Macaca mulatta: one gene and its partners. The protein of the gene in region 3 purifies or fractionates together with the protein of the main gene of each other region. This does not show direct contact. Links are inferred from orthologs where the notes say so. Each region holds a gene or a part of one and is shown on either strand. Other genes may lie near its edges.

Region 1 (7,473 bases), on a different chromosome or scaffold from region 3:
TTTACAAGATAGTAATGTGTATTACTCTGCAGCTTATAGAAGAGAACCACTTTGGAGTCATAGAGGCAGTACTGAATGACTTTGATCACAGATTAGAGATGCTGTCATCACGGGTACTAAGATTTGCTAAGGGCAGCTGTAATAAAATGATCTTTGGATGTATCATAGGAATTACTGGTAGAGAGGCTAAGAAAAAGTTATGATAGAATTAATTTGCTCACTTTATTTTGTACATGCTAACTAGCTATGATTTTTTTTTCTGCAAATACGGTAGAAAATCAGTCATAATAGGAAAAAAGATCTCTAACTCCAGAATGGAGTTATATGCAGAGAAAAAGATTTGGTGTAGTCAATGGGTTTATATTTCCGCCAGAACACTGCGTGTACCTAATCAGTCTCCCACTCTGACCTTGTACATCAATTCCAGTATTCAGCATATAGTATCAAGGAAGGGGTATCCACAGGCCTCATCAAGAGAGAGCTGCTGGTCCACCAGTTCTAACCTCAGTGGTCCTCATGGACTCCACTGTGCTAGAATTACCTTGGGCGGAAGCTTTACCCGATGGCTGTATGTGATATCTCCCTTCCCACCTTGTCTCATCTGTGCTTTTTCTCCTTTACTGCCTACAATCCCTGTCTCCCCAGAAAAGTCTTTCCTACACCATTTGTCTACATGGTTTTTATCAACTCAGACATCAAGAGAATGCCTAAGAACTAAATAGAATTGACGTTTCTTGTTTGTTGATTTTATTTAAATAGTAATACAGACACATGATTAAAAACAGTTTCAAATCATATAAAAGGAAATAGAATAAAAAGTAAGGCTTCCTCCTAGGTTAGTGCTTGGAAACACACAGATGGTATAAATGTATACATATAGCTTTATATGTGTGGTGTGTACTGGAAGTGAGATAGAAATAAAGAGTTCCAAGATAGTGAAAAATTATATCTGTATGGAACAGATATAAAAAACTTACAGATAGTGTGAATCATGTGTGGGAAATTGTTTCACAGAGGTCTGTTTTTCATTCAAGGCTCTGGGATATTGAATGTGGTGCCTGTTTAAGAGTCCTAGAGGGACATGAAGAATTGGTCCGATGCATCCGGTTTGATAACAAGAGGATTGTCAGTGGGGCCTATGATGGGTATGTCTTTCAGATTTTCAGATGTACTGCTATAACTATATCAACAAGAAAAAGAAATGTTGTATATTAAGCAACTCTGTATGTACCAGGTCCTATGGTAGGTTTCTGTGTAGTGGTGGATGGCAGGTATTATTATACCAGTTGTTTAGGTGAGGACACTCAGGCCCAGAAAGAACTAAATCTTGCCCCAAATGACAGAGGCAGAGTCACTGTGGTTCCTAAACTTATGCTTTGAGTCATTGTTGTAAACTCCAGCAATAGCTGAGGTTGTGAGTGTACTCACTTCTTTGCTTTACCCCTAAATTAAGCCAGGCGCTCTCTCTCTGTCTCTCTGTCTCTGTGTGTGTGTATGTGTGTTCTTTTTCTCTCTGTGTGTGTGTATGTGTGTTCTTTTTCTCTCTGTGTGTGTGTGTATGTGTGTTCTTTTTCTCTCTGTGTGTGTGTATGTGTGTTCTTTTTCTCTCTGTGTGTGTGTATGTGTGTTCTTTTTCTCTCTGTGTGTGTGTGTATGTGTGTTCTTTTTCTCTCTGTGTGTGTGTATGTGTGTTCTTTTTCTCTCTGTGTGTGTGTATGTGTGTTCTTTTTCTCTCTGTGTGTGTGTATGTGTGTTCTTTTTCTCTGTGTGTGTGTGTGTTCATGTGTTCAATAATAAGTTTCTTCTTTTCCCCTTTTGGTAAATTGAACAAACCCTCTTTAAAACACCTCACTATATTTTAAATGGGCAAATGGCAACTGTAAATCTTTCCAGATGACCTTATATATACTTCCCAAATGGGTTGGTTGGTCTGTCTGTACTCCTATTACTAACTTCCAGCATTTGCTTAATTTGGAGAAAGGTATCCTTGGAATTTCACACAGAGCCCTAGCTTCTGTCAGCAGCACCTCCTCAGCCCTAGAGAGTCCCCTGATGAATGAACTTGGTGACACAGGTTATCAGGTCCGGAACTGAATTTAGATAACCTGAAGTTGTTTTCTTATCTCCCTTAAAATAATATTTCTTTAAAATTTCAGCAATTCTGAGAATGTGTTGGTTCTTAATTTTTCTGAAGTCAAGTGTAATTGGTTCAGATGATTTGTAAAAACATAAGCATGTTCCCCATTAGCTTTTATAAATAGGCAGTTCAGATGCACTACTTTTTGTCAAGGAAATGTTTGACAGCATATAAATTGTTCATTTTTCCACTAATCACATCTCATTTCCCTTTCTAGGAAAATTAAAGTTTGGGACTTGCAAGCTGCTCTTGACCCTCGAGCCCCAGCGAGCACATTGTGTTTGCGCACATTGGTGGTACGTGACCTCTTAAGACAGGAATTGGTTCCCTGTGCTGGAGGATGACCATTTGCAGATAGCCCTGTCTAGGTGTATCACAGGAGCGCTTGTGTATCTCACAAGATGCCTTCAGAGAATTTCACTGTTCATTTTGTTTAGCCAAAATCAGAGAATATTTGATGCTTACATTACTGTGAGCACTTTTCTAAGGGGAGACATAATGCAACTTCAGATATGAAGGCAGGCATCCTGATTTGTAGGTGGACTGGTTTCCTCATAGGGCAAGCAATATTTCCTTCTTGCAGGTTTGAAGATTTCTTAATATGGCTACTTGTGGTTATGTTATGTTTTAATAACAGCACATTTTTATACTATATATAAATTTTTATGCTATATGTAAGTACTGTTGTATTTTTGAAGAGAGAGTCATTTGGGAATATCGGTAGATTTAAAAAAATTTTTAGTAGCTTTATCTTTTATTTCTATTTCTTCACTTCTTGCATTTAGTAGAAGATGCAGAACTCTCTTTCTTCTTGATTTTAATGGGAACCCTTATAATGTTTCACCATGAATTTTGATGCTGGCAGCAGTTTGAGGTAGATCCTGGTCATGTTAAACAAACTGTCCTTCTGATTCTAGGTTTTTCCAGTGGATTTTTAGAGTGCATCAAGAATGGGTATTATGTATTGTTGTTTACTTTTCTAAGGCCCTTTGTGAGATGATCTTTGAAATATTGGTAGAGTCTAAGATACAGAGTTGAATGAAAGAAAAGGCCTAGCAGGGGGTGCCGGGCGCAGTGACTCATGCCTGTAATCCCAGCACTTTGGGAGGCCGAGGCGGGTGGATCTCAAGGTCAGGAGATCAAGACCATCCTGGCTAACACAGTGAAACCCCATCTCTACTAGAAATACAAAAAATTAGCCAGGTGTGGTGGCGGGCGCCTGTAGTCCCAACTACTCGGGAGGCCAAGGCAGGAGAATGACGTGAACCCCGGAGGCGGAGCTTGCAGTGAGCGGAGATCACGCCACTGCACTCCAGCCTGGGTGACTGAGCGAGACTCTGACTCAAAAAAAACAAAAAAGGCCTAGCAGGAAAAGAAAGAAAAGCATTTGTTCTTGGGATGAAGGACACAGTTCAGTGAGCTCTGTACAGTCGTGTAAGAAGTCTGTTTAAGTGGCTTCATTTTCATCTGCCAAATTTCTCATTGTGAGATATCAGGGACTGTAAAGATGTCATTTTATTCATGAAGTTTTTAATATTTCATAGGAACATTCTGGACGTGTGTTTCGGCTACAGTTTGATGAGTTTCAGATCATCAGCAGCTCCCATGATGACACTATTTTGATTTGGGATTTCTTAAATGTGCCTCCCAGTGCCCAGAATGAGACCCGTTCTCCCTCCAGAACATACACTTACATCTCTAGATAACAGTCTGCACTTTCACCCGTTTCAGGTGAGTACTGTCCCTTCCCCTTCCAATTTTGCTGATTGAATTCACCTTCCCTTTGGGGGAATTTTGTGATTTGGGTTCCTTGGTGATGGGAACTAAGGTCTCTTAGATGTGTCAGCTTTTGCAGAGTTCAAGTATCAGGCTAGATCTCTATAGTCACATCCATACAAGGTTTCAGTTGGAATCCTGCCTATTGTGTGGGTTTTCATTATTGGCAGATGATAAACATGGTTCCTGTTTTTAAAAACTGTGTTCCTAAATGATTTTTAAGGTCATAATCAATTTAACACCAGTAAAATCCCTTGAATTTTATTTTGGGGTACAAGAAACTTCTTTTTCTCTTTCTTTCCTGTCCTTCAGTTCTTTTATTAAAAAAAAAAAATCATCATCTGACAAAACATTCAAAATCCGCCTCTTCCCCACTACCACAATCCACCCACTACCGTCATTCCCTCAAGGGTGGATCAGAGAAGAGCATCTGTTGAGAGACCCCTAAAACCTATTCTGCTTCCACGAAACACAGCAGATATGCTGAGAAGCAGAGTCCTTCACTCTGGCTACAGGAACATTGAAAGTCATTGTAACCATTGATGACAGAATGCTTTGATTATTACTAAGAGTGTTCAATCTGGAAGATGAGAAGTCTTACTTGGCTGTGTCCTAGGAACTGATGACTTAGGAACAGTATTGACAACTCTGTGTGTTCTGCTGAGGGCCAGTGAATTCTACACACATTAAACTTTGTAGATTGAATAAATGTTTACACATAATCATACTACTATGGATATATGTCTATAAAGACTGTTGTGATTTTAATGAAATTTGTGTTTATTTAAAATCATTACTTAATTCTTAGTGGCTTTTTATCATTACATATTTTCCTGTTCATTGAATTTCAAAAGTATAAGGAAGTCCATGTGCAGAATTAGGAATTTTTTTTGATGGAGAGATTGAGAACTCTTGGTACTATTCACTAAGTTACCATCTTTTCAGATACTCTTTCATCAGGATTCCAAGATCCAATAAATAGAACTCCACCAGGAAGTTGGTCTTACCTAGAGGTCAAGAAACTATATATATAGCCAGGGACCAAAATCGACTCACTACCTGTTTTTTGTTTGTTTTGTTTTGTTTTGTTTTTAATTAGTCTCTGCTTATCCTTTTTTTTTTTTCCTGTCTCCACAGGCTAAGAATAGTTTTTACATTTTTAAATGCTTAAAAAAATTAAAAGAAGAATATTTTTTTCATGACATGCAATAATTAGATGAAATTTAAATTCCATTGTTTATAAATAAAGATTTTTGATACACAGCCATGCTCATTCCTTTATGTGTTGTCTGTGGCTGTTTTTGTGCTTCAGTGGCAGAGCTTAGTAGTTGCAACAGAGACCTTATGGCCTACAACGTCTGAAATATTTACCATATGGCCCTTTCAGAAAAAGGACCTTTTTTTTTTTTTTTTTTTTTTGCTGACTTCTGGTCTTGCCCTGCTCCATCTATTAGCAGTAAACCAAGGGTCTACATCAGGAATGGCAAATAATTTGTGTTTTCTTCATGCCCACTGAGTTTGGTCAGTAGTGGCTGGTGGGAGTGTTGCCTTTGGAAGGATTCTGGGACCCCATGAACCCCAAAGGACTGGTTGTGGTTGGTTATGTCTGCCTTGCAGGAGTGACCTGTAAGCCACTTACCTATTTGCTGTTACGGGTCTCGGGTGTGTTCAGACTGTTCCTGATCATAATCTTCTGCCCTGCTGCTTTCTTTCTGGATAGATTCTTCATAAGTCAGTTGAAAAATCCACATGGCAGAATTATTATAATTATTGAATGGAGCCTTAAAATAGGAATTCCAGAGGAAGGAGGCAAGGATCTCTTGAGTGATTGCTCCTCCCCCCGACCTCCCCTCCCAATAAGCCTAAGAAAATGTAGGGAAGGAGGAATGGACCCAAGTAAAAACGGCTTAAGGAGGCATATGGCAAAATTCAAGACATCCGTATCACGGTTTTCTTTTTCTGGTGTATTACAGTAGATGAACTGACAACATCTATATGTTACCTGCAAGTGCCCTGAGCAAGATTCCTTTGGTTGAGAGATGAAGCAGTGATCACCAATGCTGTTTCTTACTGGCTGTGGTAGAAAGGAAACTTGTGTTACTTCCTCCAGGCCCTCCTCCTACCCACCTTTTATGGAAACCTCAGAATAGCTGCCTAGTTGTGATCAATTATAAGTCAATGGAAAAATCTTATCTGCTTAAGCTGGTGGTTCCCTGTATCCCAGCACAAGCAGTGAGACCCCAAATGTGCTTGTCTCTCCAATTTTATTACTTTTAACAACCTTGGCAGTCAACTTTATAGATTTTACTGCTCTTTTCTAAATTCTTTTTTTTTTTTTCCTTTTGAGACAATGTCTTGCTCTGTCACCCAGGCTGGAGTGCAATGGTGCAATTTTGGCTCACTGCAACCTCTGCCTCCCAGGCTCAGGTGATCCTCTTGCTTCAGCCTTGTGAGTAGCTGGGGCTACAGGCATGTGTCATCACACTCAGCTAATTTTTTTATTTTTATTGGAGACGAGGTTTCACCATGTTGGCCAGGCTGGTCTCGAACTCCTCGCCTCAAGTGATCTGCCTGCCTCGAACTCCTGAAATGCTGGGAATACAGGAGTGAGCCACCGCGCCCAGCCCCAAATTCTTTTCATTTATTATAACATGAAAAAAATTATAACCATGTGTTATGTGTAATAAGAAACACTACCCTAATGGTGATTTAACCTTGCAGTAAAATATTCACCCGTAAAATATCAGGTGAGAGTCTCTCCATGTCAGCAAATGCAGTAATAGATTTATTTACAGAGTCATTGTTAAAAAAGTAACATGTAAGAGCTGTATGTTGTATTATATATTCAGTAGCTCAAAATTTATTTTTTTTTCTTATTACAAGACAATATAAGATCATTATTAGGAAATTTGAAAAAGTAGATACGCCAAAAGAAGAAAGTAAACTCCTGCTCATGGTTTACCACTAACTCCTTTTTATAGATCCTTTCAGGCTTTTTAAAGTGATGCTTGATAACTAACTGGACATTTTTAAACATGTTTTTCTTCTTTATTGTGAAATGCTTGTGTTAGTAATGTCAGTATTTGTCCAAATTATTCCAATTGCCAAATTATATTAGATTGTTTGGATATGCTCTCTCGTTACATATTTATCCTCCCCAACCCCCAGTTTTTAGTGATTATAAAAACAATGCTATGATTATTCTTTTAACCTAATCTTTGTCCAACCCTTTGTCAGCTTTGGATGGGATTCTGGAAATGTGTGGAGAGTCTGGGTTAAAAGGTATCATGTTTGAAGACTTTTTTTTTTTTAAATTATACTTTAAGTTCTAGGGTACATGTGCATATGTAGGTCATTTTGCTTTCCAAAAGATTCAGTCAGTTTATGCTCCCCTCAGCAGCATTTGAGAGTGCTCACTTCTGGTCCCAGGGCATTAATGTTTTTGAAATAATTCAGGTTCCCTTAAATATCCTTAATGGGAAAAAAGTAGCAAATGAAATTGAATCTTGAATTCATTGAGAAGACTTAAGATTCTTGATCTTTATGAAAATTGACAACCT
Region 2 (8,076 bases), on a different chromosome or scaffold from region 3:
CTGATGTAAAGAAAATTCCACTATAGTGAAACATCTGACAATTTATTTTAAAATGTAATCTGTGTTTAGATACCTATGTTTTTCGAAGTAATTAAGCAAGCTTACTGAATCACATTAATTCACCCAGTATTATGTCTACAATGACATCATTAAGGGAAGTCATGCAGGAGATCATGTCAGTGCCTTCCAAAGTTAACCTCAAAAAAAGAGATGCCTGCTAAACATTCCCAGCATTATGACCCACAAACTTGGCTGATACTATTTTTATTTTTAGCCTGAACATCCAACTAGCATAGCACCCATGGTAGCAAGTCTCAAAAGGTGGCCCCCAGCAATTCCCCCTTCCCTGTTTATGCATGCCACCCTTCCTATCAATAGGTAGAGATTATTTCTCCTTCCTCTGTAGTCGGCCTTGACTGGCTTTGATCCACAGTGACATTCTTGGACTTCCAAATCTAGGATTTAGAAGATTGGCAGTCTCTACTTCCTGTCTCCTGGAATGTCCTTTCTTAGAACCTTGCCACCACACTTTAAGGAAATCCAAGCAGCCACGTAGAGAAAGGCCCATATAGAGGAGAACTGAAGGTCTTTAGCCCTAGCTGAACTCTCAACCAGTGGCTAGCCATGTGAATGCGGCCACTCTGAACATTTCAACCACGCCCACACCTCAGCCTATACCAAGTGAAGCAGAAAAACCATCAGACTTGAGGGGAAAAATAAATTGGTTTTTTTAACCTAAGTTTTGAGGTGGTTTATTAAACAGCAAACATTTACCCTTTATACTGTTTCACTTATCTATCACCTCTACAAATAAAACTTATATACATTCTAAAATTATTTCATCCATTTCAAGCTACTCTACTTGATTCTGGGATTGGCTGGACAAGAATATATTTATCCTGTTTTTAAAAATAAACATGGCTCAGCAAGGTGGCTCACGCCTGTAATCCCAAACTGGGAGGCCAAGGCAGGAGGATCCCTTGAGCCCAGGAGTTCAAAACCACCCCTGTCAACAAAGGGAAACCCTCATTCTCTACAAAAAGAAAAAAGAAAAAAAAAAAAAACAGTAAAGTGGCGTGTGCCTGTAGCCACTTGAGAGGCGAAGGCAGGAGGATCACGTGAGCCTGGGAGTTTGAGGCTGCAGCAAGCTGTGACTGCACTCTAGGCTGGGCAACATAGCAAAACCCTGTCTCAAAGGTGAAAACAAAAATAAAGTTCAAATTCCTCCTCAGCATGTCTTTTCACCCCCTATCTTAAATGCGCGTGCAGGTGTGTGTGTGTTTTGGGGCCTATATTCCCTTAATCATTTTCATTTCTCTTCTTAGGTTCTCTTCAAGTTTCCGTTTATACTTTTATTAACCAAAAAAGTATTAAGAAAGGTCCTTGAGGACCTGCTAAAGCTGAATGAGAGACATTAGCACATAAGTTAATGTAAACGGTTGCTTTCAACACCATTTACTTGTTTTTAAAAGTTAAACATTCTGCTTAAACTATTTAAGATGAGCTTTAAGTCTCGATCATGGGTGAATTATGGTCATCTCTGAATCAGCAGTCTTATTAATCGGATTTTATTGTAAAATTATTTATCAAGGCACATTAGTATAGCAATGAGCAAATCTGTGAGAGTATCCATTTCATTTTGTCATTTTAAACTAATTTTACATTTGTTTAAATCATGACATCTGTATCTGTATAAAAGTTGTCATTAGTGATTCATAATTGAGGGAAAGGTTAAGACCAGAACAAAGCCAAATAGTAACAAAAATGTCGGTTTGATTAAAAGGATAGTTCTTCCACGTGTACTGTGCACTAATTATTTGATGCTGGCTCAAATATCTTCTTTTTTTTTTTTGAGACAGAGTCTCACTCTGTTGCCCAAGCTGGAGTGCAATGGCACGATCTCAGCTCACTGCAACCTCTGCCTCCTGGGTTCAAGTGATTCTCCTGCCTCAGCCTCCCAAGTAGCTGGGACTACAGGTGCGCACTACCACGCCTAATTTTTGTATTTTTAGTAGAGATGGGGTTTCACCATCTTGCCCAGGATGGTCTCGATCTCCTGACCTCGTGTTCCACCCACCTCAGCCTCCCAAAGTGCAGGAATTACAAGCATGAGCCACCGTGCCCCGCCAATATATTTCTTTCTTAAAATTGACTCTGAATACATCAACACGTTATAGCAGGGTAAATGGCATCAAAAGGAAGTTGTGACTTACTCAGATTCATAAGACTTACTGCAGTGAAAGAGAATACCCAATTTCAAACTCTCCATTCTGTTTCTTTTATTAAGGTGTCATTCTAGTGACCCTATTCTAGTTGACCTTTTCTCAAACAGCAGCCAAAACAGCAGGCAAGGTCAATAATGAAAGTAACTAAAATTAAAAGAAAAAACTGGCTCCTCCCTATGGAAACTAATTCAAGATTTAGTAATGTGTGGTGCCCTAAAAGCTGCAACTACTACATGGTCATCTCCAAGTCCACTTTAACTCAACCAGGAGGCCATTATCAAAACATAACTCACTGGTACAAAGCACAGATTAAGTAGCTGAAAATGTTACTAGGCTGAAGTCTAACCGAGAGTAAAAAGGATGACCTCATGTCTCTTTATGATCTGTAAATCACATTATTCCATAAATCTGACACAAGCGTCAGGATCAGCATTGAGTCAACCCTCTGCTGGGCGCTGCGGCTCACATCTGAAATCCCAGCACTTTGGGAGGCCAAGGTGGGTGGATCACGAGGTCAGGAAATGAGACCATCCTGGCCAACATGGTGAAACCCCATCTCTACTAAAAATTAGACGGGCGTGGTGGCCTGCACCTGTAGTTCTAGCTACTCGGGAGGCTGAGGCAGGAGACTCGCTTGAACCCAGGAGGCGGAGGCTGCACCACTGCACTCCAGCCTGGGCAAGAGACTCCGTCTCAAAAGAAAAAAAAAAAAAAAAGGATTCAACCCTCTAGGAAAACAAAAATAAGCAGTAACAGTTTTCTGACTTAAGTCTAATAACTTTCACTTACTTCTAAAGTCCAGTAAAATTTCAAGGTCTCTTCTTCATATTTAGAATTTTAATGTTGGGCAGAAATCCAAGAACCTTCTTCAGGCTCAGTGAAATTTTTTTAACGATACCCTTGAACTTTAGGTGTTTTTGAAAACACTAATGCAAAATAAAGTTTTAGTGAATTTGATTAGTTTCCAAAAAACTATTCTTATAAATGGGGCAGTTTAAAGCCTAAAATTCAATTTCGTTAGTATCCACGTTTATCTGGATTTGTTATGGTATTTTAGGCAAAGATACAAAATAACTATTTTTTTAAGCAAAGGAGTAAGATTTGGAGTGACAAGTCACAATAACTTCTGAAAAGGCAAGACTTGACTGCAAATAATATCAATGTCCCTAAGGCCACCTGTTAAGCTTAAAGTCTATGCATTCCATCATTCTTTAGTCGTAACCACAAAGTCTGGTTTCACACCTAGGAAATACAAAAAGCATCAGATTAAAAGCATCAAATATCAGACTAGACAAGTTTGCCAAAGATAAGCATAGCAAAAAGAAAAGCGTGATACAAAGTTAAAGAAATATGTTCCAAGGGATTTAAACACACCCACAAAATCCAATCTTTGCTCACACTGTGCTTCAACCTAAAAGTGACAGGTAACCACAAATACTGACTTATTCCTGACTTACTTCCCTCTACCTACCTCCAACCTTTTTATCTCCTAAATTTCTCAACTGATCTCATCACTTCTTACGGGTCTTTGCAACTCTCATCTCCGCGGCCTTTCCTTTCCCAGAAAATGATACAAAGTACCTGGCCTCCACATTTTACGGTCCCACAATTTACCTTTAAATTTTGTTTTGCTGGCCGGGCGCGGTGGCTCAAGCCTGTAATCCCAGCAGTTTGGGAGGCCGAGGCGGGTGGATCACGAGGTCAGGAGATCGAGACTATCCTGGCTAACATGGTGAAACCCCGTCTCTACTAAAAATACAAAAAACTAGCCGGGCGTGGTGGCGGGCGCCTGTAGTCTCAGCTACTTGGGAGGCTGAGGCGGGAGAATGGCGTGAACCCGGGAGGCGGAGCTTGCAGTGAGCCGAGATCACGCCACTGCACTCCAGCCTGGGAGACACAGCGAGACTCCGTCTCAAAAAAAAAAAAAAAAAAAAAAAAAAAAATTTGTTTTGCTTACCCTATTAGATACTCATTTTGACCCAATCTCCTGTACCCATGTTTCCCTGACCAATCTGCCTCTTACTTTTCATCACCTTGTCCTTACTATAGTATTTAGCTTCTCCTTTCAAAGTAGCGTTCTGTACCTCTCTCCCTGACATTTGTAATTCTAGTTTACAGTCAACACCCTTTCCCCCTCCCAGGGACTGTCATTATAGCCCTAGGTACTCATTCCCAGTCTTTATCTTCCTTGAGGCCTCTTCCCTTCCAGAGTTTGTCAACAGTAGTTTGGCCAAGCTGGGATTCCACCCTCAAGGCAAAGGCTATCCTCCCTCCCTCATTCTACAAAACTATAAGCCTCTCACCAGCCCTAGTGTTCCCTCCTCCACCCTTAAATCCATCTGCATCCAGCCCTACCCGTTCCCCTCTACCTACCATATCTGTCTTCACTTTATCCCGCGCTCCCCTTCCCCAGTCCTGAATGCACCTCCTCTCCCGGGCCTTACCGGTAACCCTGACACTGGGAAGGCCCCGCCAGCGGCCTCACGGCGTTTCTCCACAGAGCTTCCTCCGCTCTTCAGTAACAGTCCCCACGCCCCTTTCCCTCCAGGGCCCCGCGCGCCGCTTGGAGCCCCCTCCTCGATTAAGCTCCCGCTGTCACTTGGCCTCTCATCCACAAGATGGCGGAGCTGCTGCCCCCACCCTGGGTCCGCTCCGCAACCCCTAGCCTCCTTTCTGGAGCTCCCATCCCATGCCTCCAGCTGCCCCGCCGCCAGCCTCGGCCCAGGGTCCCGCTGCCTGGTCCCGCAGTGGGCGGGCGGCACAGGCCCGAGCTCAACGACGCCGCCAACGCCAGCGCCTCCGCCGTTCCCCGGCCTCCACCGTCTCCTCACCATAAACTTGAGTGCTTTCTCTTGCAGCACCGCCTCGGCCGGGTCCATAATCGCGAAGGCCACTGGGTCCGCTCTCCGCCGGGGCCGCCCCTTTGGTGCCAGGCCGCAGCCAACGCAGCGCCCGGATCCCGCCTCCTCTTCCTTCCCCCCGCCCTCTCTTACCTCTCAGGCACAGGCTTAGGGGCCAAGGAGAATCGGCTTTCTCAGTACGCAGGCGAAAGCCCACTGGCTCACGGGATTTGTAGTTCTGGAGCTTCCCGCAGAAAAAAACTGACGCTACGCGGTGAACCGCAACTCCCACAGTTCACTGCGGCAGCGTTGCGGTTGCCCACAAGCCAGATTTAGATAACTTGTCATTAAGCATAGGAAATTGGCTGATGGGAATTGTAGTTTACAGCCTCTAAGGATTAAAAAACGGGAGGGGCACGGGTGTCTCCGTGGTTACCGAGCGACGCCAGTAGCGGCTTGCCTGACGTTTGATATCAAGATGGCGACCAATGCCTTACCTGTAGCCCAAATACTAAGAAAAACTATGGCAAGAATCAGGGGTCCTAGGGCCTGCCTAACTGTGGTTTTAGGGAGCTGAACATCCCCAAATTTCATATATCTGGCGTCTGCAGGTTTGCTACCCAGAGCAGCTGGGCCAATGGGCACCAGGCAGCAGCTCACAGACCAATGCAGAATTTCAAGGTCCTCCTAAGCTATCGCCACCCACACTTCTCCCAAGGAATCTTTTCTCCCCTACAGCAAGTCAGGGCCGAATAGAACCCGGCTCAAGAAATTCTTGGTGTTGAGAGCTCAAAAAGCGCATAGCTTGCTATTGCTAACTGTGGGATATAAGCCCTGCACTAAGGGTCAAACAGGTACTTACAAAAGTCCTTCAATGGTGGAATATAATGGCCTCCAGCAAATAAAGCATATAAATATTTTCTTTGGCCTGAAAAGGTACAATATGGGTTTATTTTGTAAATTGGGTCTACCTTAGGAGGAGAAAACTCTAGGGTTCGGTTAAAAGTGACTTAGGGCCAGGCAGGGTGACTGATACTTGTAATCCCAGCACTTTGGGAGGCCGAGGCGGGTAGATCACCTGAGGTCAGGAATTCGAGACGAGCCTGGCCAACATGGAGAAACCCCCTTCTCTACTAAAACTACAAAAATTAGCCGGGCCTGGTGGCACACGCCTGTAATCCAAGCTACTCGGCAGGCTGAGGTATGAGAATTGCTTGAACCCGGGAGGCGGAGGTTGCAGTGAGCCGAGATCACGCTACTGCACTCCAGCCTGGGCAACAGAGCCAGACTCTGTCTAAAAAAAAAAAAAAAAGTGCGTTAGATTGTGACAGCCTTGTACAAAATATCTGAATTTATAAAATAATTGAACTAGGAAAATACTTTTTCACTTATAGGAAAAATCTCCATTTTAAACCATCTTATTCATTCAGTCATCCAACAAATAGTAAGCATATAACCGTGTGCAGACATCATCTCAAGAAGTAGGGATTCATCACTACTTGGGTGGCCAAAATCTCAGACTTCACCCCTATACAATTAATCTGTGTAACCCAAAACCACTTGTACCCCAAAAACTATTGAAATAAAAATAAAATTAATTAGACAAAAAGAAAAAGAAAAGGGGATTCATTGATGAACAAGACAGACCCAGTTATTTCTTCGTGGAGCTTACTCTTCCACTCTGTTGATACTTTGTCCTAGCCCCTATGTCCACAAAACTCAGCATGATACTTAATACATAATAGGCTTTCAGTTAATAAAAAGTTTTGCTCTTGAATTAAAAAAAAAATTCTACACAAGTACAAAATGGAGAAGACTTCAAACGCATTCGTATGAAAACTAGCTGCCGGGCGCGGTGGCTCACGCCTGTAATCCCAGCACTTTGGGAGGCCGAGGCGGGCGGATCACAAGGTCAGGAGATCGAGACCACGGTGAAACCCCGTTTCTACTAAAAATACAAAAAATTAGCCGGGCGCGGTGGCGGGCGCCTGTAGTCCCAGCTACTCAGGAGGCTGAGGCAGGAGAATGGCGTGAACCCGGGAGGCGGAGCTTGCAGTGAGCCGAGACTGCGCCACTGCACTCCAGCCTGGGCAACAGAGCGAGACTCTGTCTCAAAAAAAAAAAAAAGAAAGAAAAATAGCTGGAAGTTTTCAGAGGACTAAGGCAGTAACATGATGGAGTTACAAAAAATAAATAAATAAATACATAAATAAATAAACAAACTAAAAGATGAGGTGGGATGATGGTGCAGCCACAGGAAAAGAGTATTCCAGGCAAAGGTAACTGCATTTTGGTGATTGATTCTGAGAACCAAAACAAGGTCAGTGGGACTTTAGAGGAAGAGTGACCCTAGATGAGACTGCAGTATGGGGCTCTATAGGTAAGCCATTATTTAGGTGGCATAAACTGGTCAGATGAATCAGCTGACATGCTTTCTAACTGGCATCAAGGCCTGTATCTTACCAGCTATAAAATACCTTGACTTTCACTCCAGCTTATAGGCCAAGTTAAGGCATTTGGACTGTATCCTGAGAGCTGTGAGAAACTAACTGAACAATTTTAAACATGGTCAGATTTGCGTTTTCAGAAAATCAGAGTCCAGGGTGGAGGAGAGATTAAAATGGAGCACAGCTGGAAGCTTGGGGAAAGGATTATGGCGTTGCTGAAATCTTCCTGGGAGAGATGATGGCAGCTTGAATGTGGTGGTGAGAACAGAAAGAAGTAGATGGATTCCAGAGATACTAAGGAGATAGAATCAGTTGAGTATAGTGATTAGATGTGTCATGGATGATGTCAAAAGGATGTGTCCAAGATGACTTCTATGTATCTGGCTCAGGTAATGAATGAAGGATTCCTTTTTTTTTTTTTTAAGACAGAAAGCAGAGTAGAAGGAGCAAGTGGTAGGAGGATAATCAGTTCTCTTTTTGGACTTATTGCTTCAAGGTGCCTGTGAGATTTCTAAGTGGATTCAGATGTTGGGGAGGCCATTGAATATTCGAAACTGAAGTTGG
Region 3 (7,473 bases):
TCAGTCCCCAGGACTGAGGTTACAAACGGAGAATTTTTTTAATGACTCTTATGCCTGTGGCTCTAGAGTTCCCAAAACACCTTAGACAATGAGAAATGAACAGCAGCTAGTACCATGTGAGCACGTGTGTGTGGTTGTCCACAAGGACTCACCAAAGTAACAGACTGGAATGGTTAAGAGCTGGCCACACACACGTCCCGCAATGCTGGCTGCTACCATTTACTCCTTGTTGCATAAAACTTGTTTTCAAAGCCAACCCCACTACTTAGTCATCATTTACAGACTAGACTATCCAATGTTATGAACATTTTTAACAGGTTTCAAGCAGCAGCTGATAAGGCATTCATCTCTTAAGATATTTTATAAAACAATTCCATGGAAACTTTAAGACAGGCCTCTCTGCCCACTGCTGTGTATGAAGATAAAAAACACAGTTTCTCCTGCACCTCTTCCCTCAAGACTGGTGAGCTCCAGCGGCCCAAGATGGCTCGCCTCAGGAGAGAGTGGATGCTTCCTCGCCTGGGGCTTCATCACTGAGAGACCAGCCTCAGCAGCCCATTAGGAGCACAACGAAATGACTCTGACCCACGGTCCTTTCAGACAGCAGGTGCCTAGATCGGTGATGGAGCGGGCACATGCACCTAAGCCAGCTTCGCCTGGAGGGGACACTCCGGTCAGCAGCAGCCACCTCCCGATGGCACCATGTCACCTCCGCTTGGTCAATGTTTAGGCAAGCCACAACAGGGCCCCACGCAGGATCGTTCCATCCCCATGAGGAAGACAGGACAGGACCAAGAGCCCCACATGGACCCCTGGTCTCCACAGGCAGCCAGTTAGGTCTTGCTTCGCTGCAGGAGGGTGGCGGTGGGGCCATGGCCGCCCTGGAACTTGAGGCTCTGCAGGTTGATGTGGGCCCCATGCCTGAGCAGAGTCTCCACTGTCTGCGCATGCCGGCCCTGGGCGGCCAGGTGCAATGCGCTGAGCCCCTGCTCATCAAACAGGTCAATGACGTCGGTGCTGACCAACTCCTCCACCACCTCCGAGTGCCCGTGGGCAGCGGCCAGGTGCAGCGCCGTCTGGTTCAGGGGTCCCCGGGCCAGCACATCGGCCTTCTCCTCGATGAGCAGCTTGACAGTGGCCAGGTGTCCGTTGCGGGCAGCCAGGTGCAGAGCAGTGTAGCCGTCGGAGGTCACGGCCTCCTTGCCGGCGCCCCGATGCAGAAGCAGCCTGGCAGTGCTCGTGTGCCCCGTCTCTGCGGCCACGTGCAGGGGTGTCTGTGCCAGCAGGCTGCAGACATTGACGTCGGAGCACAGGTCGATGAGGATGCGGGCCACGCGGTAGTGCCCGCGCTGTGCAGCCAGGTGCAGGGGCGTCCTCCCATCCAGTGTCTGGGCGTTCACACTCACCCCCGGCTGCTTGGCCAGCAGCTTGACGATGGGGAGGTGGCCCTGCCAGGCGGCATAGTGCAGCGGCAGCCAGGCATCCTTGCCCTGCAGGCTCACGTCCACGCCTCGGCGCAGCAGGATGCGCACGATATTCTCCTGGCCATGCTGGCAGGCCACGTGCATGGGCGTCCGGCCCTCAAAGTCCACCTCGTTGACCGAGGCATTCTTCTCCAGCAGCAGCCGCGTGCTAGACTCGTCCCCGTTCTGGGCTGCAAAGTGGAGGGCCGTCCACTGGTCCTCATCCTTGGCGTTGACACTGATCTTCCGTGCCAGCAGGAGCTCCACGACGCCCCGCACCTTCCTCTCCACGGCCATGTGCAGCGGGGTGGAGCCCCTCCGGTTAGTCAGGTTGGGGTTGGCATTGTTGAGCAGCAGCCACTTGACACACTCCTCTTGCCCGGCCTCCACCGCCAGGTGCAGCAGGCTGGCGCCACCGTCCAGCGCCAGGTCCACGTCCTGTGGCTGCAGGATCTTCATCAGCTTGCTGGTGTCCCCAGACACGATGGCATCCATGAGCTTCTTCTTCTGGACGTCTGTGGTGCCCAGATCTGCAGGGAGAGGAGAGGCAAGCGTCAGAGCGCGGCTGCACATCCAGGGACGCAGCGTCTCTGGGAGCCTGGCTGTGGCGCTCAGGTGGAGGAGTGCCAAGGCCTCCAGGCTGTTCACTGGACACCTGACCATGTTTGAGCATTATCTGTGCCTCCTGATTAAGGTCAGTCCTAGTGGGAGCCCCGGGGCAGGCCGGCGAATGTCTTTCAGGTGCTCGTTAGTTGGTCTGCAGAATAAAACCCACTCTCGCTGTCCTGCGGGGTGCTGAACCCCCTTGGTGCCTAGAGATGGCAGTGACTGCAAACATTCCTTCATTAAAGAAAGAAGGAAAAAGGGCACAGACTAAAAGACCAGGCCGGAGACCCCTTCGCCTGGAAGCCTTGGCACTTGCCATCCACGGACACCCCAGGCCTAGCAGCCTGCAGAGCTGGTGCCCAGAGCTGGAAGGGGCTGCTGCAGCTCCTGCCCCACCTCGAAGTGGCACCTCCTGACCTGGGGAGGTCAAGAGGGAAGTTTGCTATGATAATCCTGAAGGGACCGAGCCTCTTGTTTCAGGAAGACGTTAGTCCAGCACTCAAGATGAAAAGTTGCATTTACCACAAAAATCCTACTGTAGTGCCTGGAATTCTGAGTCCCTGAAATAAGACTCTCCTCCACCCTCATGTGAAACACATGGGGACTTGGAAGGTGGCGGTGTTAAGGTGTTAAGAAAACGGAACCCTCCCAGTCGGGCTTGGTGTTTGAACACTGGTATTCCGAGTAGAGCCAGTAAAATAATCCTCTCTCGAGCATGAAGACGATATGCCATTTCAGAGTATTAGACCCAAAGAGAATTTTCTAGAACGTACTTCTCCATGGGAGATGGTAGTATTTCTTTCTGCCCAGTCTTAGACTTGGCCCTGACTCTCTTCCTCAACCCCATCACCTACTGCTTATCTGCCGTCACACCAGGTCTTCCCCACTGTGTCTATGTAGCATTTCCTTAACCCAAGACACCCTCTTTTGCCCCCAGTATTCTAATCTAAAAATCCCAGGAGGTCTGTAAGATCCAGGAAAAGTCTTTGCCTCCAAGAGGATGTACCAATCCACCAGGAAAAGCCAGGATGGATTGGTACATCCTTCCCCCCAAGATCACAGCCTTGGCCCTCAGCCCCCGTGGCTGTAGCCCTGAGTGTAAATCCCTGTATTTTCCATCAGAGCTGCAGCCCCTTCAGGAATAGGGCAGGACCACATCTTACCACTGCAGCTGGCAAAGAGGAAGCCAGAATGACCACTAGGCCCAGCACCCTGGGGCAGGGATAGGAAAAAAAGCACCTTCCAAAAACAAAAGCCATCAAAATTAACATAAAAAGATAAGATTCGCTAAGTGAGAAGTGCTCCTCCCTAACAGGAGATTTGCAAAGGTGGCCTGGTGTTAAAACCTCCAAGGATAACCAACACATTACAAGGCCTGGACTACCGTGAATGGGGAGCCCACATATGCGAAGGCATGGGTGTGTACCCAGCAGGATCTGAGCAGAGGGTGTGGGACTGCCATCCTGGAGACAGGAGGCCCGCCAGGGAGTGGGGCTCAGCTCCTCGCCGGTCTCACCGCACTGGATGGGGTTTCCAATCTGTAGACCAGAGGTCAGCCTCTACCCATGGCACTGGCACAGGCAAGACTGTTGCATGGACTGGTGATGTGGCCTGTTCCCCACGTATGCTAAGCGACACAGGATGGAGCCAAATGCCCAACACCCAAAATTAATTACTTCAGACAGAGAGAACACAAAGAAGAATTATTGTTGGGTCGAGAAACTTCCCCTTGATTCCGTTTAGCTGCTCACTGAGTCCAGTCAACTTTCCCGCCGAGCCCAGCATCTCCCGGGACACAAAGAGGCGTCCCCACTTACCGCTGGTCGAAGGCTCCCTCTCAAAGGACAGCGACAGTGATCCTCTGGAAGAGAAGGCGGAGTCCACCGAGGACACCCCCGAGAGCCTCTTCCCACTGCCGGACGATGGCAGCTTGGACTCAGAGGAGCTGCGGCTGAGCTCCTCCGGGCCCTCGACAGCCTGGGAAACTCCAGAGTCCAGCTGTGAGAGCAGCTCGGAGAGGCTGTAGTCGTTATCGAAGGTGGGGGCGGAGGCCCGCTTGAGCCTGGCAGACACAGGCACCACCTGCGAAGATGCAGAAGAAGGGGTGGGTGAAGACCCTGCCATACCCCGCATGGCCCGCCCATGACACAAACACGGAAGAGCAAGGTGGGCCATGGGAGGGAGGTGGGGGAAGAAAGGACGGAACCTGGAAGCAACACAGATAACCTATTGGTCCCCCAGCTCAGACCCCGCCTCCGCACAGCATTAGGGAGCTCAGACGCCGAGTCTGCACAGCACCCGGGTGCTCAGACACCACGTCGGTCCGCACAGCACCAGGGAGCTCGGACTCCACAGCCGCACAGGTGGAGCTCAGACGACGCAGCCGCACAGCGCCAGGGAGCTCAAAGACTTGGAGCTACAAAGACTTGCGCTGGCTCCACCCAGCCCAGAAACATTTTAAGGAAAGATCGACTTCATAAAAGTGCAAAATCCAGCCTCATGCAGCTCTGGATGCCATCTGCTCAGTAGCACCGCGCACAGCGTCACCCAGACAAAAGGCAGGTAATGTCAAGCTGCAGAGTGTGGTGAAGCATGCGTGGCAGGACACAGCTGCCCAGCACAGGCCAGCATTGGCAGGAAACAAGAGGACAGACAAGAACTGGGCAGGACCCCCACAGGTGGCTACAACTGCGACCTCCCCGCGGAACCACGTGGGGCTGGCCTGGGGGCTGTGTGGGGACAAGGGAAGGGGGAAGGGCCCGGCTACAAGGATGAGGGATAATCCAGTCCGACGCACACCAATGACACCTTTTAAAGGGTCTCGCTTCACGGACTGCAGGGGCAGCAGGTTTCTGGTGGGTAAGTGGAATCTGACAGGATTTCACATTTCTTCCCTTAGGCACACCTATTTGCCCCAAATCCCCACCCTCTGTGGGACGGCTCAATGTCCCGCACTCTTGCTGGGTGCACCAAGCCACCCCCACATGTTGGTTGCCTTCTTTCCCTTATCAGGGCCCAGGTCTGCCTCTTCACCAGCAACCCCCAGGCACCTTTGCTCCCAGACTCACTGGCACGCATGCACTTTATGTTGAGACAGTGGGCACGCCATACATGTTTCCGGCTCTCCTGAGCTCACACCGACAGGCTGGGATCAATTGCCCAACACCAGATAACACGTTATAAAGCTCACTTAGCTCTGCCTCACAGGTCTGCTCCAGTCTCATCACCTGAAAGGGTATTTAGCCAGCCCTGGCACTTGGAACTTCTTATCACATCTGAAATCACCTAGGTGGCACTCATCAGAGTACAGACCATTTATGAGCAGCTATAAAGGGACTGGATCCCCGAACCAGAGGTGCAAAAACACCCAGACACCAGCTCTCCCTCCCCGTCTGGGGCTGGGCCTTCTGATCCCCGTGGTTCCACGCACATCCAATGAGTGGCTATTTAGTGTCAGGGAAGCCCTTACATTACTCATGCAGAATCACAGACAGGAGGTGGGGCGGGGATGCAATCGGGCAGGTGGACCTGAGCCCCCGTGGGACCTACACTTCTAACGGAGTTGGGTGCGGGATGGGCTCAGAAGAGAGGGAGAGTGGTCCCGGCGCGGAGGAGTCTGCAGAGAGGAGGAGTGGTTTGGAAACCCTGCCTGGAAGCCGAGGAGACAAAAGACCCCTGTGGGAAGGGCCCATTACCTCGCTCCTGGGCTCTGGGGGGCTTTTCACGTCCAGGTCGTGAGTGGTTTCTTTCACTTCATCATCAGGCTTTTCACACAGGTCCTCGGTTTCAGAAGTAATTTCTTGTGGGGAAGAAAGGGGACATGTCACTCGGATGATAACTTCTACGTACACAAGCCTTCCATTTAAACACGGGCGGGGCCTCCACAAGCTGGGGGATTTCTCACATGCCTCGGCCCAGGCTGAGCTCGCCAGGCAAGCCCAGGGGCCCTACATGGGCGATTTGCTGGCCAAACCCAGGCCCCCCGTTGGTAATCATTTGCAGGCCTCACCAGACTCAAAGCAGAAGCCTTCCCCGGGAAAGCCCCACCTGCCAGTTGCAGGGAGCAGAGCTGCCAGCACCTGGCGGAGGAGCTCCCCATTCATCCCGTTTCCTGCCGTAAGCTTTACATGCAGCAGTTTCCATCTCATCAGGGTCACTTTCCTATGCCAGAGACACATCTGTCCCAGGAAGTCAACTCCCCAAGGGCAACACCTCCAGCCACCAGCCAGGTGAGTCCCCGGGAAGAGCATGGCTGCACCTGAACTTCAGACTCCCATACAGACTCCTCTGGGCAGCAAGCCCAGCCCTGGCGGGGAGCAGGGGATGGATGGTTGGAGGCGACTCAGTTCCAGCTGCTGTGGCCGAGCCTTGAGTACCAGAGGCCACAGGCAGGTGCTGGGGCCAACCTATCTGTGCAGGGCTCATTTTGGCCCACCTGTTACATGCCTCGTTTCTCACCCAGGCCTGGTCCCTGACCCTGTCCTGTCCGTCACCACTATCTCCTGTGACACCCACAGACCGTGCTGGGGAGACCCTGGGGAACTCACCTTGGAAGGTGGGCCGAACTCGCGGATCCCCCTGCCAGCACCGCTGCATGAGGCGTATCAGGTGGCTGCAGGCGCGCGGCCGGGCTCTGCACACGGGCGGCAGCTCAGGGCGGTGGCCCTTCACCACCTTCACCATGATGTGCAGGATGTTCTTCTCATCTGCCAAGGGAAGGATGCGAGTCAGGGGCTCTGCAGGGCTGGGTGGCAGCGTCTCACTCTTGGGAGGAAATGACACACTTGCCGGGGACCACGGTGGGACCATCCCCACACCATCCCAGGGAGACGGCTTCCCCTCCCGTTCCATAGCCAGAGATTCCTGTAACCCTCATCCTCACGGGGCACCGTGCTCTCTAGTTTACTAGTTTTGAAATCGACCTCTTTCCTTGGGTTCTGATCTACCAGATGGAGTCAGTGTGTTTGGTCACAGAGATCTTTCTCGGCATCCCACCCAAAGGAAGATGAGGTTCAAAGAAGAACAATATCTTATGAGGCTCATTCCATCAACAGCCCAAGCCAGCAAAGGGAATGAGGTTCACGCACCATGGAGGAGCCACAGCGTCCTGCATCCACAGAGACCCAACTCTCTCTACAATGGCGAAGAAGTCTTCCTCAGTTCCAACTCCAATCCCAAGCTCAGGTCCCCAGCTGGCCTCCCCTGCAGCTGCACCAGGGCTGGGGTGTGTGGGAAGGCTCTTTCCCTTCAATTCACCATGTGGGGCCGCACCTGTCCTTTCTGACTGCCTTCACTCGTATGCATGGGCTCTGGCATACTATTATTATTATTATGGCCACAACTTCCACCCTGACTGGGAAGGGTTCAGGGTGACCTCCAGTGGGCCAAGTTCTTTTTTCTGCAT

What was found.
Region 1: the proteins of RIPK4 (region 3) and FBXW11 purify together in Homo sapiens (affinity purification with mass spectrometry; 4 studies listed by BioGRID, with this or other methods). This does not show direct contact. The link is inferred for Macaca mulatta from reciprocal best matches to the Homo sapiens genes RIPK4 and FBXW11.
Region 2: the proteins of RIPK4 (region 3) and BTRC purify together in Homo sapiens (affinity purification with mass spectrometry; 4 studies listed by BioGRID, with this or other methods). This does not show direct contact. The link is inferred for Macaca mulatta from reciprocal best matches to the Homo sapiens genes RIPK4 and BTRC.

What each region holds. Positions count from the first base shown.
Region 1 is NC_133411.1:180,713,542-180,721,014, reverse strand, and holds part of FBXW11 (F-box/WD repeat-containing protein 11), read left to right. Parts: intron 1-1,034; coding exon 1,035-1,145; intron 1,146-2,354; coding exon 2,355-2,433; intron 2,434-3,681; coding exon 3,682-3,843; 3' UTR 3,844-3,868; intron 3,869-7,473.
Region 2 is NC_133414.1:113,424,438-113,432,513, reverse strand, and holds the start of BTRC (F-box/WD repeat-containing protein 1A), read right to left. Parts: upstream 5,192-8,076; 5' UTR 5,105-5,191; coding exon 4,670-5,104; intron 1-4,669. UniProt on the Homo sapiens protein: Substrate recognition component of a SCF (SKP1-CUL1-F-box protein) E3 ubiquitin-protein ligase complex which mediates the ubiquitination and subsequent proteasomal degradation of target proteins. Recognizes and binds to phosphorylated target proteins.
Region 3 is NC_133408.1:5,746,409-5,753,881, reverse strand, and holds part of RIPK4 (receptor-interacting serine/threonine-protein kinase 4), read right to left. Parts: intron 6,776-7,473; coding exon 6,617-6,775; intron 5,869-6,616; coding exon 5,765-5,868; intron 4,152-5,764; coding exon 3,887-4,151; intron 1,994-3,886; coding exon 834-1,993; 3' UTR 1-833.